Linked DNA regions of Arabidopsis thaliana. The protein of the gene in region 1 interacts with the protein of each later gene in a pairwise test. Each region holds a gene or a part of one and is shown in the gene's direction. Other genes may lie near its edges. The genes, in order: AT5G65260 and nPAP.

Evidence for each region.
Region 2: the proteins of AT5G65260 (region 1) and nPAP interact in a two-hybrid assay, tested with the Arabidopsis thaliana proteins (one study listed by BioGRID).

Annotation. Positions count from the first base shown.
Region 1 is NC_003076.8:26,079,672-26,084,942, reverse strand, and holds AT5G65260 (RNA-binding (RRM/RBD/RNP motifs) family protein), read left to right. Parts: upstream 1-1,876; 5' UTR 1,877-1,958; coding exon 1,959-2,081; intron 2,082-2,200; coding exon 2,201-2,300; intron 2,301-2,509; coding exon 2,510-2,580; intron 2,581-3,885; coding exon 3,886-4,077; intron 4,078-4,174; coding exon 4,175-4,302; intron 4,303-4,393; coding exon 4,394-4,442; 3' UTR 4,443-4,721; downstream 4,722-5,271. Other genes in the region: RABA4a (RAB GTPase homolog A4A), read right to left, coding at 393-840, 1,274-1,506; AT5G65250 (uncharacterized protein), read left to right, coding at 4,892-5,271. UniProt on the Arabidopsis thaliana protein: Involved in the 3'-end formation of mRNA precursors (pre-mRNA) by the addition of a poly(A) tail of 200-250 nt to the upstream cleavage product.
Region 2 is NC_003075.7:15,847,804-15,855,211, forward strand, and holds nPAP (nuclear poly(a) polymerase), read left to right. Parts: upstream 1-1,968; 5' UTR 1,969-2,330; coding exon 2,331-2,465; intron 2,466-2,562; coding exon 2,563-2,640; intron 2,641-2,966; coding exon 2,967-3,074; intron 3,075-3,246; coding exon 3,247-3,309; intron 3,310-3,377; coding exon 3,378-3,539; intron 3,540-3,875; coding exon 3,876-3,989; intron 3,990-4,070; coding exon 4,071-4,133; intron 4,134-4,214; coding exon 4,215-4,544; intron 4,545-4,622; coding exon 4,623-4,787; intron 4,788-4,924; coding exon 4,925-5,758; intron 5,759-5,866; coding exon 5,867-5,950; coding exon of another isoform or gene 5,951-6,007; exon of another isoform or gene 6,008-6,088; coding exon of another isoform or gene 6,089-6,103; exon of another isoform or gene 6,104-6,361; coding exon 6,362-6,442; coding exon of another isoform or gene 6,443-6,463; exon of another isoform or gene 6,464-6,514; coding exon of another isoform or gene 6,515-6,548; exon of another isoform or gene 6,549-6,559; coding exon 6,560-6,640; 3' UTR 6,641-6,657; downstream 6,658-7,408. Other genes in the region: PFK6 (phosphofructokinase 6), read right to left, coding at 398-502. UniProt on the Arabidopsis thaliana protein: Essential protein. Polymerase that creates the 3'-poly(A) tail of mRNA's. Also required for the endoribonucleolytic cleavage reaction at some polyadenylation sites.

The DNA of each region.
Region 1 (5,271 bases):
AACGGCCGAGTGAGAATTTATCAGAACTGTGATACCAATTATTAAAATCGGATGCTTCAGTTTTTAATTTTTACTTTTTCACATTGACGTAACAAGAGAAATAGAAAAGTTGTTATTGCTGGTATATATTTGTAATTAACAAAAATGTAACAATAATCTTACAAATGTAGAGAGAATAAAAACATGTTGATCAAATTAATATCCAATTTTTAAGATCAAATTAAGATCGGTTTGTTATACTTGGATTCAACACCCCAAAACCCCACAAAAACTGCTCATTAAGCAACAAATGAATCACACAGCTCTAGATAGGAGAAATATCCCAATCAGAGTCTTTAAAACATCTATATATTGTTGTTATCAAGTAACATTCAAGAATTGAATTGGTTTATCTAAGAGTTACAACACATGTTACTCTTGTTTGGTATCACTTGACCAGGACCTGGAACAATATCAATCTTCTTACCAGCAAGCGACCCGGGATTACCATTCTCTTGATCTTCACTCGCAGCCAGACTTTTCTTGTTCACAATGTTGAAGATCTCAGTCAAAACCGTGGAGAAAGCGCTCTCAACATTGGTTGCGTTAAATGCAGATGTCTCCAAGAAGAACAAACCTTCTTTCTCCGCAAATTCTTTCGCATCTTCTGTCGGTATAGCTCGTTGATCCACAAGATCTGACTTGTTCCCAATAAGGATTATCACAATGTTCTTATCTGCATGAGCACGTAGTTCTTCTAACCATCTTGGGATATGGTCAAAGGTTTGGCGTCTGGTTATGTCATACACCAACATCGCCCCAACCGCTCCTCGGTAATATGCACTTGTTACTGCTCTGTATCTGTTTCAACCAATACCACACATATAGAAAGATATACAATGTAAGCATATGATAAGCATGAAATGTGGTGGTTAGCTTACTCATTAAAGATCAGTGAATGTATAAAGTTGATGAAGCATCACTGGGAAATGTATAACAAAAGTGTCCAAATTTGTACCAATCATAAAATTATAGAAGCTTAATAACATTGGAATAGTAATATACATAATTCTAGTCTATACATAATTTTGAAATCCCAATCCCAAATTCTCAATGATTCTACCATTTTACTTCAGATCCTCCCAATTTCGTATACAGATCAGTAAGCTTTACTAGAATTCGAAATCCTAAGCAGACCTATCATCTTCCAGATCTAGAGAAACAGTAAAATCTTACGAGATCTAAGTTCAAGCAATTGAAGTAGCTAAAAGTTCCGGGAGAGGTCGGAGATTACCGTTCTTGGCCGGCGGTATCCCAGATCTGAGCCTTAACACTCTTGTGATCGATAACAAGCGTCCGAGTCTGAAACTCAACGCCGATGGTGGCCTTAGAATCCAAACTGAATTCGTCTCTAGCATAACGAGCCAGTATCTGTGATTTCCCAACCGCGGAATCGCCGATCAACACCACTTTGAACACATAATCAATCTTCTGCGACGGATCTCCGTATCCTCCTCCACTAGTCATCTTCTTCAACGTCTCTCTCTCGCTAAATCCTCTCTTGCTAAATCCTCTGTTTTAAGCTTTTACCGAAAAGTGAGCTTTTTTGAAGTTTTAAACGCAGAGAGAGATCTGATACGGTCGTATTGTCGTCGTTGTCAACTATTAGTCAATATTTTTAATTAATGATGACGTGTCTAAATATTAACCGTTGGATTCTGCCGGCTCGGTGAGATTTGACGGATTCGACAATTATCTTTCTGTCAGGCGCATGTTTTTGGGTGATGATGTCATCAAATAGGGTAATTTCGAATGTTAAAAAGTCTTTTAAAATTGGGCCTTATTAGGCCCATTAAGTTATAATAAAGGGCCGTTATTTGGTTGATTACGTGTCGCTATCCGAATTGACAAAAAGTGACCTAAGCGTTTTCAGAAGAAAACAAAGCAAACGTCGCGACGGAGAGAGAGCGAGAGAGACGATGGAGGAAGAGGAGCACGAGGTTTACGGTGGTGAAATTCCAGACGTCGGAGAGATGGATGGAGATATGGAGGCTCTCAACCCCGATTTGGATATGGCTGCTGCTGATGATGATGCGGTTAAGGTCTACTATTATCTCTTTCTCTCTTACTGTTTTGCTCATCTTTATGTGACTGAGCTCGATTGATTTGTTATCGCGTGTATATGTGTTTGATTGTTGTGTTATTGCTGTTGTAATTCTAGGAGTTGGATGAAATGAAGAAACGATTGAAAGAGATGGAGGACGAAGCTGCTGCTCTGCGTGAGATGCAGGCTAAGGTCGAGAAGGAAATGGGAGCTCAAGGTTTTCGTCTCTTTGATTTGGTTTTGCTATAACTCGCTTCTTTGATATGATTATCATCGTGCTTCCCGCAATTCGCTAGGTTTTTGATAATTGGTAGCTACTTGGTGGTGTTTGAATCCATCTTAGAATTCCACTGTGAATTATGTTATGTATATGGAGTTTTTTTTTGCTTCTTGACTAAAGTTTTTGGTTCAATTTTGTTATTCCAGATCCTGCTAGTATTGCAGCGAATCAAGCAGGCAAGGAGGAGGTTGATGCTCGATCAGTTTTTGTTGGCAATGTAAGAATATTTATGTTTCTGCGTCGTTTTCTTTCTTTAAGCCATCTTAGCTAGCTTCTGCTTTATTTTCATAGTTTTTAACTCGTATTGATCTTAATGTTCATTGGATTAGACTATGAATTGTGCCTTTTTTAGCTCTCTTGATACAAAACCTTTTATCTAGGGTGTTAGAATTATTATCGTAGAAATCTATTATCTGATTATGTTCTCTTCCTGATCCATGATTGCATTCTCTACATTTAGTGCTTGAATATATCACTAGTTTACTCTGACTTTTGGTGTAATGTCACATCTTTGTTGCTATGGATTCTTGTCTATTCAGTGAGAACTCTTATTAGATGAAATTGTTGAATGGTAAAAAGTTGGTGCTTAGCGTGAAGACTTTATCTTCAAATGAAAACTAGTGAGGGGTTTCTGTTGTTAGTGATATTGAGGGTTTTGGAAAGTAGATTGAGTCTTCATATTACTGGTGGAACCTTAGCCTTCAGATATAATTGAAAATTTCATATGTTTAGTAACTTTTCTGTGCAAATTTGAGGATGCTATAGTTTTTGTTTTCTGGCGTTGAGTTTTACTTTTCTTATGATTTTTCTCACTACAATCGCAGGATTTTGTTCCTGAAGTTCTTAATTGCTCTGGGTTATATCAATTAGGTTTTGTGGGGTCTTTACATTTTCCTTTTATGGAGTTGAAAAAGATCTGTTCTGTTTTGTTGTGGAACATGATGAAAAAAGCTAAAAAAAAGAGGCAAAAAAGCATTGAATAAAGCTATGAAAAAAGAATAAAGAAAAGGAAATGAATACGCTTTAGAGCAATATAGAGAAGGAAAAATGTTATGATTATGAGGGAAAAAGAGATATCTGGAGAGGGGACAATGTTTGAGTGGAGTATTTCTCAATCCATCCTCGAGGAGATAGCGTTTGAAGTGCTGCATCAAGATGCTGGATGCTTTGTAGTCAAGGCTCATTAGCTGCGTTGGTGAGAAGCAGCTGTTTGATGGTAACATAAAATTAAGCTTGGCATAAAGTTTATGCTCGGTACACAGCGTAAGGGATCTTTTCAACTCAAAGGCTGCTCAAGTATACTAAATTCCACTTTGCTTTCCTATTGTTCTGCTTTACCTTGCACATATATTTATGTTGGTGTGTGTGTAATGAAGGATAGTAAAAGAGGAATGTCTTTGCTACGTTTTCTTGTTTAGCTGAACTAATTAATTTGATGGATTACTCTTTGTGTGCTCGGTGAAGGACTCCATGGGTTTATGCTAGTTTGTTATATACTATAACTGCATATTTGACTGTGCAGGTTGATTACGCTTGCACACCTGAAGAAGTTCAGCAGCATTTCCAAACATGCGGCACTGTCCATCGGGTGACCATTCTGACAGACAAATTCGGGCAGCCAAAGGGATTTGCATATGTAGAATTCGTCGAAGTGGAAGCTGTTCAAGAGGCTCTACAACTGAATGAATCAGAGCTACATGGTCGTCAATTAAAGGTACACATCTTACTATACCATCAAACAAAACACTTTTTACCATGAAAAAACCCCTTATGATTCCATCGTTTTCTCATCTGGCTTAAAATAATTTCAGGTCTTGCAGAAGAGAACAAACGTTCCTGGATTGAAACAGTTCCGTGGTAGACGATTCAATCCATACATGGGTTACCGGTTCCGCAGACCTTTCATGTCTCCTTATATGTATTCCCCATATGGATACGGGTAAGTTGGTTTTAACATCAAGACATATATGTTGATTGTGGTCACACAGCTTTATCCACTTCTCACACTTTTTGGTGTTTTTTTTTTGCAGAAAAGCTCCTAGGTTTAGAAGGCCTATGCGTTACATGCCGTACCAATAAAACCGTCATCATGGTTAAGCATAGAAGGGATTCGCTACCAGTGTGGATGCGTGTATTGGCTATACCCATCCTTCATTGAGCTTTCTTTATGACTTTGGCTCTTTCGCCTTTTAGAACTTTGCGCGTAAACATTTTCGAACCTAGACTGGTATTATAAGTTTCATATCGTTTTGATATGATGCATATAATGATTGGATCAAGTGTTGCTTATATAATTGGGACTATTGGGTTATAGCTGAAATCTGTTAAATGAAAGTGTTGACTCTTTTTATTCGCTTAGCAAATCAACTCCAAAGATGTTCCGCGCATTTTAAACTTTTATTGTCGAGGCTTTGCTACCATGCGCCTGTAAGAGGTTCTCTTCTGATGATGGACGTCAAGGTCGTAGCCATTTCTTGCAATGACCTGAGATTTAACCAGTCACTTGTCACAGACCCGAAAAGACGATAATGTCCTTATCGCTTCCTTCTCGATACGCTCTCTTCTCCGGCTCGACTCCTGTTCGCATCAGCAGGAGGAGCAACCTCTGCTTCGCCGTCTCCGCCGCACGAGCTTCTCGCCGGGATTCTATATCATTCCCCCAGCCTATCTTCCTCCGCCACGTCATCTCTACCCAGTCGAATTTCGAGATCGATCGAAATTATAGAGCTCATGCGTCTTCTATCGGATCATTCGAGGATAGCTCTTCTTCTAACTTACTAGAAGACGCCAGTTCCGATGGTTTCGATTTGGGCAGCTTTGTTTCTTTCGCGGAAGCGCTTTGTATTTTATCATCCGCCGTGATTTCAGTGGTTCTCGCGGTGAATTACGTGGTGGTTGGTGAAATTGG
Region 2 (7,408 bases), on another chromosome or scaffold:
ATAAGAACCTCATTACATTAGCATCAAATTTAGAAAATAGTAAGTGATTAATAGATCTAATCAAACATTCGGTGACGAGTAAGCATATGTGCACCAATCAATTTCCACGTTGACATTGATTTAACATTTCACATTTGTATGCACTAATACGAATATAAATATTTATGTAATTCTCTCCCTGATAGAGACCAGGATCTCATCAACAGTCCGAATCAACATATAGGCTAAAAATAGGCGAAACCAATTATACAAACACAACTTTTGCATTTGCTATACACGAACCACCAAATCGGCAACAATATCAAATTCGTAAATCGTATAACCACCGATCCATGAAAATGTCGATTTCAAAGAATAATCGATGGAATCGTATAGAGATAGAGAGAGGAAGTAGTACGGGGAGATCGAGAATGTAATCGCTCAAATGAGGAACATCTTCGAGTACATAACCAGCAGGTCCTTCCACCAACTTAATCTGCTCGTCCACGCCATTAGAAGCCATCGAAGAAAACCTTATTCTTCTGAGTGTTTTTCTCTCCGGTGACGTAAAGCGACTGTGAATTTGAAGCGTATGTATGTATGTGAGTTTTAATTCTCAGAGCTCAGAGTGGTATAGAAGTAAGGAACGAGAAAGCGACGTCGTTTTGGCTCACCGTTACTTTATGATATACGGACATTACCGAAATACCAGCGTAAACGGCGGCTGGTTTTTCCTTTTGTCAATTTCCGGTTTTCAGATAATTGATTCGTGGATAAATGCAGAAGTATGGATAAAATCTCATTAATTATCTTTATTATACCTTTAAAGAAAATGACAAAAATTAAACGATAAGAATATCTTAATATTTACGAAATATATTCTTAGTAATTTCTCTATTTGGTGTCAAAAATATATAGGCAATTTTTCTATTCTTTAATTTCTTAAGATTTTTTTTTTTTAAAATCATTTTTTCTTAGTATATGGTATTGTTCATGACAAAGAGAGAAATATCATATCCTGTTGAGAAATAGCATTTATAAAAACTGATTTGTTTTGTAAAAATAATAATGTCAAGCTAATGTATAGATCGAATAGTTATTTTAGCTTAAAAATCAAATTTCTGAGAGGAGAAAATTTATCTTACAAATCTTTATAACGCTTAAGTATAAAAAAAAGATCTTAATACACAATTGTCCGAAAAAATCATTTTTAAACTATCAAATTATCGGTTTAAACTTTTTATTTGATTAACAAATCAATCTAAACTTTACAAATCTTCATGAATCAATTTAGGATTTAAATATCAAACAAGTGGATTCTAAAATAATAAAGTTTCCTCTCCAATTAGGAGTATAATGAATTACATATTTGGAAAGAAAAGATTCGAGTATTAATAAATTTTAGATGAATTTGATAAGTTTTAGACAGTTAGGAAAGTTGTTACTATTTGTTATTAAAAATATTTGCAATCTCCCTCACTAAAAAAAAATAATATTTGCAATCTCACAAAACCATGAGAATTGGGTCTTTGTAATTTTTAATCAAGGAAATCCATTATTACATCACTAATTGAAATTCATGTTTGTATATACAGCCTAAACTTTTGTATATACAGCCTAAACTTTTGTATCTTTTATTTAAAAACACTTTAATATGTTAAAATCCAATATAGTATCAAAATTATATCAAAATCTAATAAACAACACACCAGTTTTCAACTTTATCAATTAAAATTAACAGATGGTGATTTTAAATCAGTTGGTTTCCATCGACACATGATTTCTAGTTACCAATAATCCCACTAACCCCATTAAAATCTTTAAATTAAAAATCTGAACAAAATTATCTAATTTAGATTTGTTTTCAAAATGATTACAATGTTTTCTTGTTTTGAACGGAGACTTATCGGCTCCCTCCGTAAAATAATCATACACATTAATCCACTAATCAAAATTTAATTATAAAATCGAATCGCCGTGTACCTAATATCTTCCCCAACCTTTGCTCTCTCTCTCTCTCCATCTCCCTCATACCTCCTTCTTCTTCTTGATCCATCATCTCTCTCTCTTTCTCTCTTCTCTCTGTTCCTAGTCCATCGATTTAACCTCTTTCAGATTCTCCTTCTTCTTTGACTTTTTTTGACACCGTAGTCTCTTTCCCCTTCCATCGATTTAGGGTTTCCGATTTTCAAAATCTCCTTTTTATTTGTTTCCTCTCCTTGTGCAATTCCCGTCTCGAATCCATCTTGACCTGGGGGTCTGATCCGATCTCCCTCTAATCATATCGTGAAGCGAGATTATGTTTTTGTGCTGCGCTTCTGCTTTGATCGCTTAGGATTATCAATCGTGTTATGATGGTGGGTACTCAAAATTTAGGTGGTTCGTTGCCGCCGCTGAATTCTCCTAAAAGCTATGGAATTACGAAGCCGCTCTCTCTTGCTGGGCCTTCTTCGGCGGATATTAAGCGTAATGTGGAGCTGGAGAAGGTAAAGCTTTGTTTTTTTGTTTATACAAAAATTGTTCCACTGTTTAAAGGATTCGTTGATTTGGCTTATCTGATGTGTATTTTCTTATATGCTCAAGTACTTGGTTGATGAGGGACTCTACGAGAGCAAGGATGATACCATGCGGCGAGAGGAAGTTCTAGGACGCATCGATCAGGTGACTCAGCGTGTCTCGTTGATTGTTTGTTCTGTATATTTACAAGTGTTATCTTTTGATGGTTGTGCTAATTGGGTGTCTGAATCGACAAGAATAAAATTATTGTGTTTATAATGGTCTTTTAGGTTTCATTGTATTGGTTCTTACTCGTGTATGGTTGTTGATTTTGGGCTAAGCATAGATCATAGTTCAATATGAAATAGACTGGTCAGGCATATGTTCTTATGTCCATTGATTTACTTTGCTGTTTTTAAGTTTCTTCACATGCTGTTCATTGTGCTATTTGTCTGAAACTATCAATCTTATCTCCCACCTTTTTTTTTTAGATTGTAAAGCACTGGGTGAAACAGTTAACGCAGCAAAGAGGATATACTGATCAGATGGTGGAAGATGCAAATGCTGTCATTTTCACCTTTGGATCCTACCGACTTGGCGTAAGTGCTACTTGTTTACCGCTTCCTTGCTTTTATCTTGAAGCTAAAATGCGTATAATATGTTTTTTGCTATATGTTTGTGGATTACTCGAGAGATCGCTCTGTTTTTGTCTATGCAAATGCAATCTTAGTCTCTGAGGCTGAACCGACTTCAATTTTGTTCACTTTGCAGGTGCATGGTCCTGGGGCTGACATTGATACTTTGTGTGTTGGGCCATCTTATGTTAACCGGGAGGTGACTCTTGCTACCACTTATTGATGCAGAAGTTTGATTCTTTAGTTCTTAACACTTACTCTTTACAGGAGGATTTCTTCATCATCTTGCATGATATATTGGCTGAGATGGAAGAAGTGACTGAGCTCCATCCTGTTCCCGATGCCCATGTTCCGGTCATGAAATTTAAGTTTCAAGGAATACCGATTGATCTGCTCTATGCTAGCATATCACTTTTAGTTGTGCCACAGGTAATTTTCTGTGAATTTATTGTATCTTTCTTTGTTTTTGCTGAAGCTGTAGGGTCTGATAAATTTATATTAGCTTGTATATATTATGCTATATGTTGTGCTTGTTTGCATGTTGATGGAGACAGATAGTGTATTACTCATCCTCAATGGCTTATATAGTAAACAAATTTATTTTAGTAGTTTCTGGCTTGAGAGAGAGATCTGAAAAGTTTGCTGGCTATTTTGGTGCATCGGTTTTGATTTTTATATGAAAACTGAGCCCGTGAGCTGTCATGGTAGATTACAATCTCTTGCTGAATCAAATTTCTTGTTTTCATGGATTTGGTTTATCGACAGGATCTGGATATCTCCAGCTCTTCTGTGCTGTGTGAAGTTGATGAGCCAACCGTTCGAAGTCTTAATGGTTGTAGAGTTGCTGATCAGATTCTTAAACTCGTTCCAAATTTTGAGGTAAACTCACAGAATGCCAGTCATTATGTTAACATATGAATGAACTATGGTTACCTTCTCTTATCTTATGTGCAATTGTAGCACTTCCGGACAACCTTAAGATGCCTGAAGTACTGGGCTAAGAAGCGTGGGGTGTATTCAAATGTAAGATCATAGCTTTCTGAAATTCGTATTTATTGAAAACTTTCATGTCTAAGCTCTTGTCATATTTCTCATATTGGGCAGGTGACTGGATTTCTTGGCGGTGTAAACTGGGCACTTTTGGTTGCTCGTGTCTGCCAGCTTTATCCAAATGCAATTCCTAGTATGCTGGTTTCTCGTTTTTTTAGAGTATATACTCAATGGCGGTGGCCGAACCCAGTCATGCTTTGTGCAATAGAAGAGGATGAGCTTGGATTTCCTGTCTGGGACCGTCGTAAGAATCATCGCGACCGCTATCACCTTATGCCAATAATAACTCCAGCTTACCCATGCATGAATTCTAGTTACAATGTCTCTCAAAGCACTCTTCGCGTTATGACAGAGCAGTTCCAGTTTGGTAACAATATCTTGCAGGTAAGTGAGCAAAACTTTTGACTTGTTATCTCAACTATTTATTCAGGATCCTATACTTATGCATGATTTTTAATGCAGGAGATTGAATTAAATAAACAGCACTGGAGCTCTTTATTTGAACAATATATGTTTTTCGAGGCATACAAAAACTACCTTCAGGTTGATATAGTGGCAGCAGATGCAGAAGATTTATTGGCTTGGAAGGGTTGGGTGGAGTCGCGGTTCAGACAGCTGACCTTAAAGGTTGATAGCCTCCTCTTTTCATTTGATTTACAGTAATAAACCTGCTGTATATCAGTGTTTAATCATATTTGTTGTGGTAGAAAATATAAAATTATTAAATGTTTCTCGATTTTGTTTCTTTTCATTCAATAATGCAGATAGAAAGAGACACTAATGGGATGTTAATGTGCCATCCCCAACCAAATGAGTATGTAGACACGGCTAGGCAGTTTCTGCATTGTGCCTTTTTCATGGGCTTGCAGAGGGCAGAGGGAGTTGGGGGTCAAGAATGTCAACAGTTTGATATACGTGGTACTGTCGATGAGTTCAGACAAGAAGTAAACATGTATATGTTTTGGAAACCTGGGATGGATGTTTTCGTTTCTCATGTTCGTAGACGACAGCTTCCACCTTTTGTTTTCCCTAATGGATATCGAAGGCCTCGGCAGTCCAGGCACCAAAATCTACCGGGTGGAAAATCTGGTGAAGATGGCAGTGTTTCTCATTCCGGCTCTGTGGTGGAGAGGCATGCCAAGCGAAAGAACGATAGTGAAATGATGGATGTGAGGCCAGAGAAACCTGAGAAGCGTGCATCTCTTAGTCCACAGAGTCTAGATATAGTTTCTCCTGAAAATAGTGCTATCACAACTGGTTGGACTCCTCCTGTTTGCAACCTTAGAAGGCCACCAAGCGAGGAAATAGAAGCTGATAATTTGAACACTGAGTGTACTGAACTCACAGACTTAGCTCGAAATGAGTGTAACTCTGGCAGCGAGCAAGTTCTTGAAGTAGATAGTATGGCTGTAGTTCAAGAATGCTCTGATCCTGCTGAGCCTTTGGGAAAGTGTGTAACACCTGACTCTGTTGATGTGGTAGCATGTGTAAGTGGGCAGGAAGAAAACTTAGATCGTAATTTGAGGTCTGTATCCATCAGTGGTACTGACTCCCCACTTCTTCCGAGCAGATCCTGTGGGCAGAACCGTGATTATGAGGTTAGTTTTTTTTTTCTTTTTGTATATGTTTGGGGGTTCTGGTGTGTTATCAGAAATTGGCAATAATTGTTTGAACATACCGGGCATAGTAATGATGAGTTTTTACAGGGTTTCGGGTTTCCTGCTGCAAATTCAGATCCTATGGGAAAGAAAAACTTGTACTCTCAAAGCGGCATGTCGGAAGACCTTCAGGTTATTAAGCTACCTCACAGTAGTTATCATAAGATTAGTTCTGTTGAAAATATTTAATAGCTGGTTTAAAAATGAATGTCCAATGATATGCGAGCATCAATTCTCCACACTACATGGAATCTCATACTGGTTTCATAGTGTCAAGAAACATAGGATGGAGCTAAGTTTGAAATTTGATGGTTGTCCATAAACAGTACTACTTAAGAGGTCAATGTTTCTGCTGTGTTATAACTTGCCTTGTGTGATTTCTGCTGCATACCGCCTAACTAGTGCATATATATGATTGGCAGGTCCTGCACTGCAAAGCAACTCCGCTTGAAACTTATTGAATTAGACTTTTCTCTCTTTGATTAAGTTTTGTAAGGAATAAAACTAACTTATGTTGTTGCTCGTAATCTTGTCTTGTCTTAGTCAAACTCTTTGGTGAGCGGGATGGAGAAGTCGGAAGACAGAGCTAGGTCAGAATCTTTCCAGAAGTCACAGATAAGGCATGTGTGTTATGCAAAGTCATGATTTCTTTATGTTATTCTTGTTGTGTATTTGGTTTCATTGGTGCTTTTATAGCACAAGCAGGTTAAGCTTAAAGTCCACTGTGTGAACGTCCTCTAGGCTATTGACGTGAAGAAAACGGGGGATTTCAACTCAAATTGTTGCGTTGGACAGACGACAGAGTCCAGAAGCTTTTGGTAAGTGAATTTTTAATATGGAAAAAAGAAAAAAGAAAAAAAAAAGTTAAAAAATGACATTTGAAAAATTCAAAAAAAAAAAAAAGAATTAAGTTAAAAAAAAAAAGGTAACCAAAAGAGAAAAGAAGGTATAGGCAGAGAAAGCATTGGTGGTGGTATTTTGAGTGAGCTTGGATGATGACCAAAGCTCAATATGCGTCATCAGGATCATAACTTGAAGATTGAAATGATTTATATAATGTCTGGATGATGAATGCTTTTTTTTTTTTATTATTCGGCTGTTTCAGACTCTGGTCCTCTTAGGGCTTTGACTTGAATCGTTTGTGTTTTTTTAATTTTATTTTGCGGTTTATGTATATAAGATCTATGCCTCCTTGTCTCTCGTTTTTGGAGTTATGCTGTCAAAACTAAGTGAGAGTAGTTGCAATGAAAGGCTTTAAAATAAAGGTTTCTGATCTATATCAAAGTCAAAACACTGTTTCTTTTTTTCTTATGATGTAATATGATGGAAAATCTATAGAGGAATTGGAATAATTGGTGGTTGAACCGGGAAAGACAGATTCTCAAATTTAAATGTGTCGGATCTGCTAGTTCCAAATACAAGTTCAAAGCGTCACTTAAAATATAGAGGACCATGAATAAGTACAAGAGCTCTGTATTTGAAAACATGAATGGTTGGAATTCCTACCGAGACCAAACACTTTTTGTGGAGATATGTCTTGTTTGGTTGAATTATCTTTAATACAGCATGCCAAAGGTTTGAAGAGTAAGA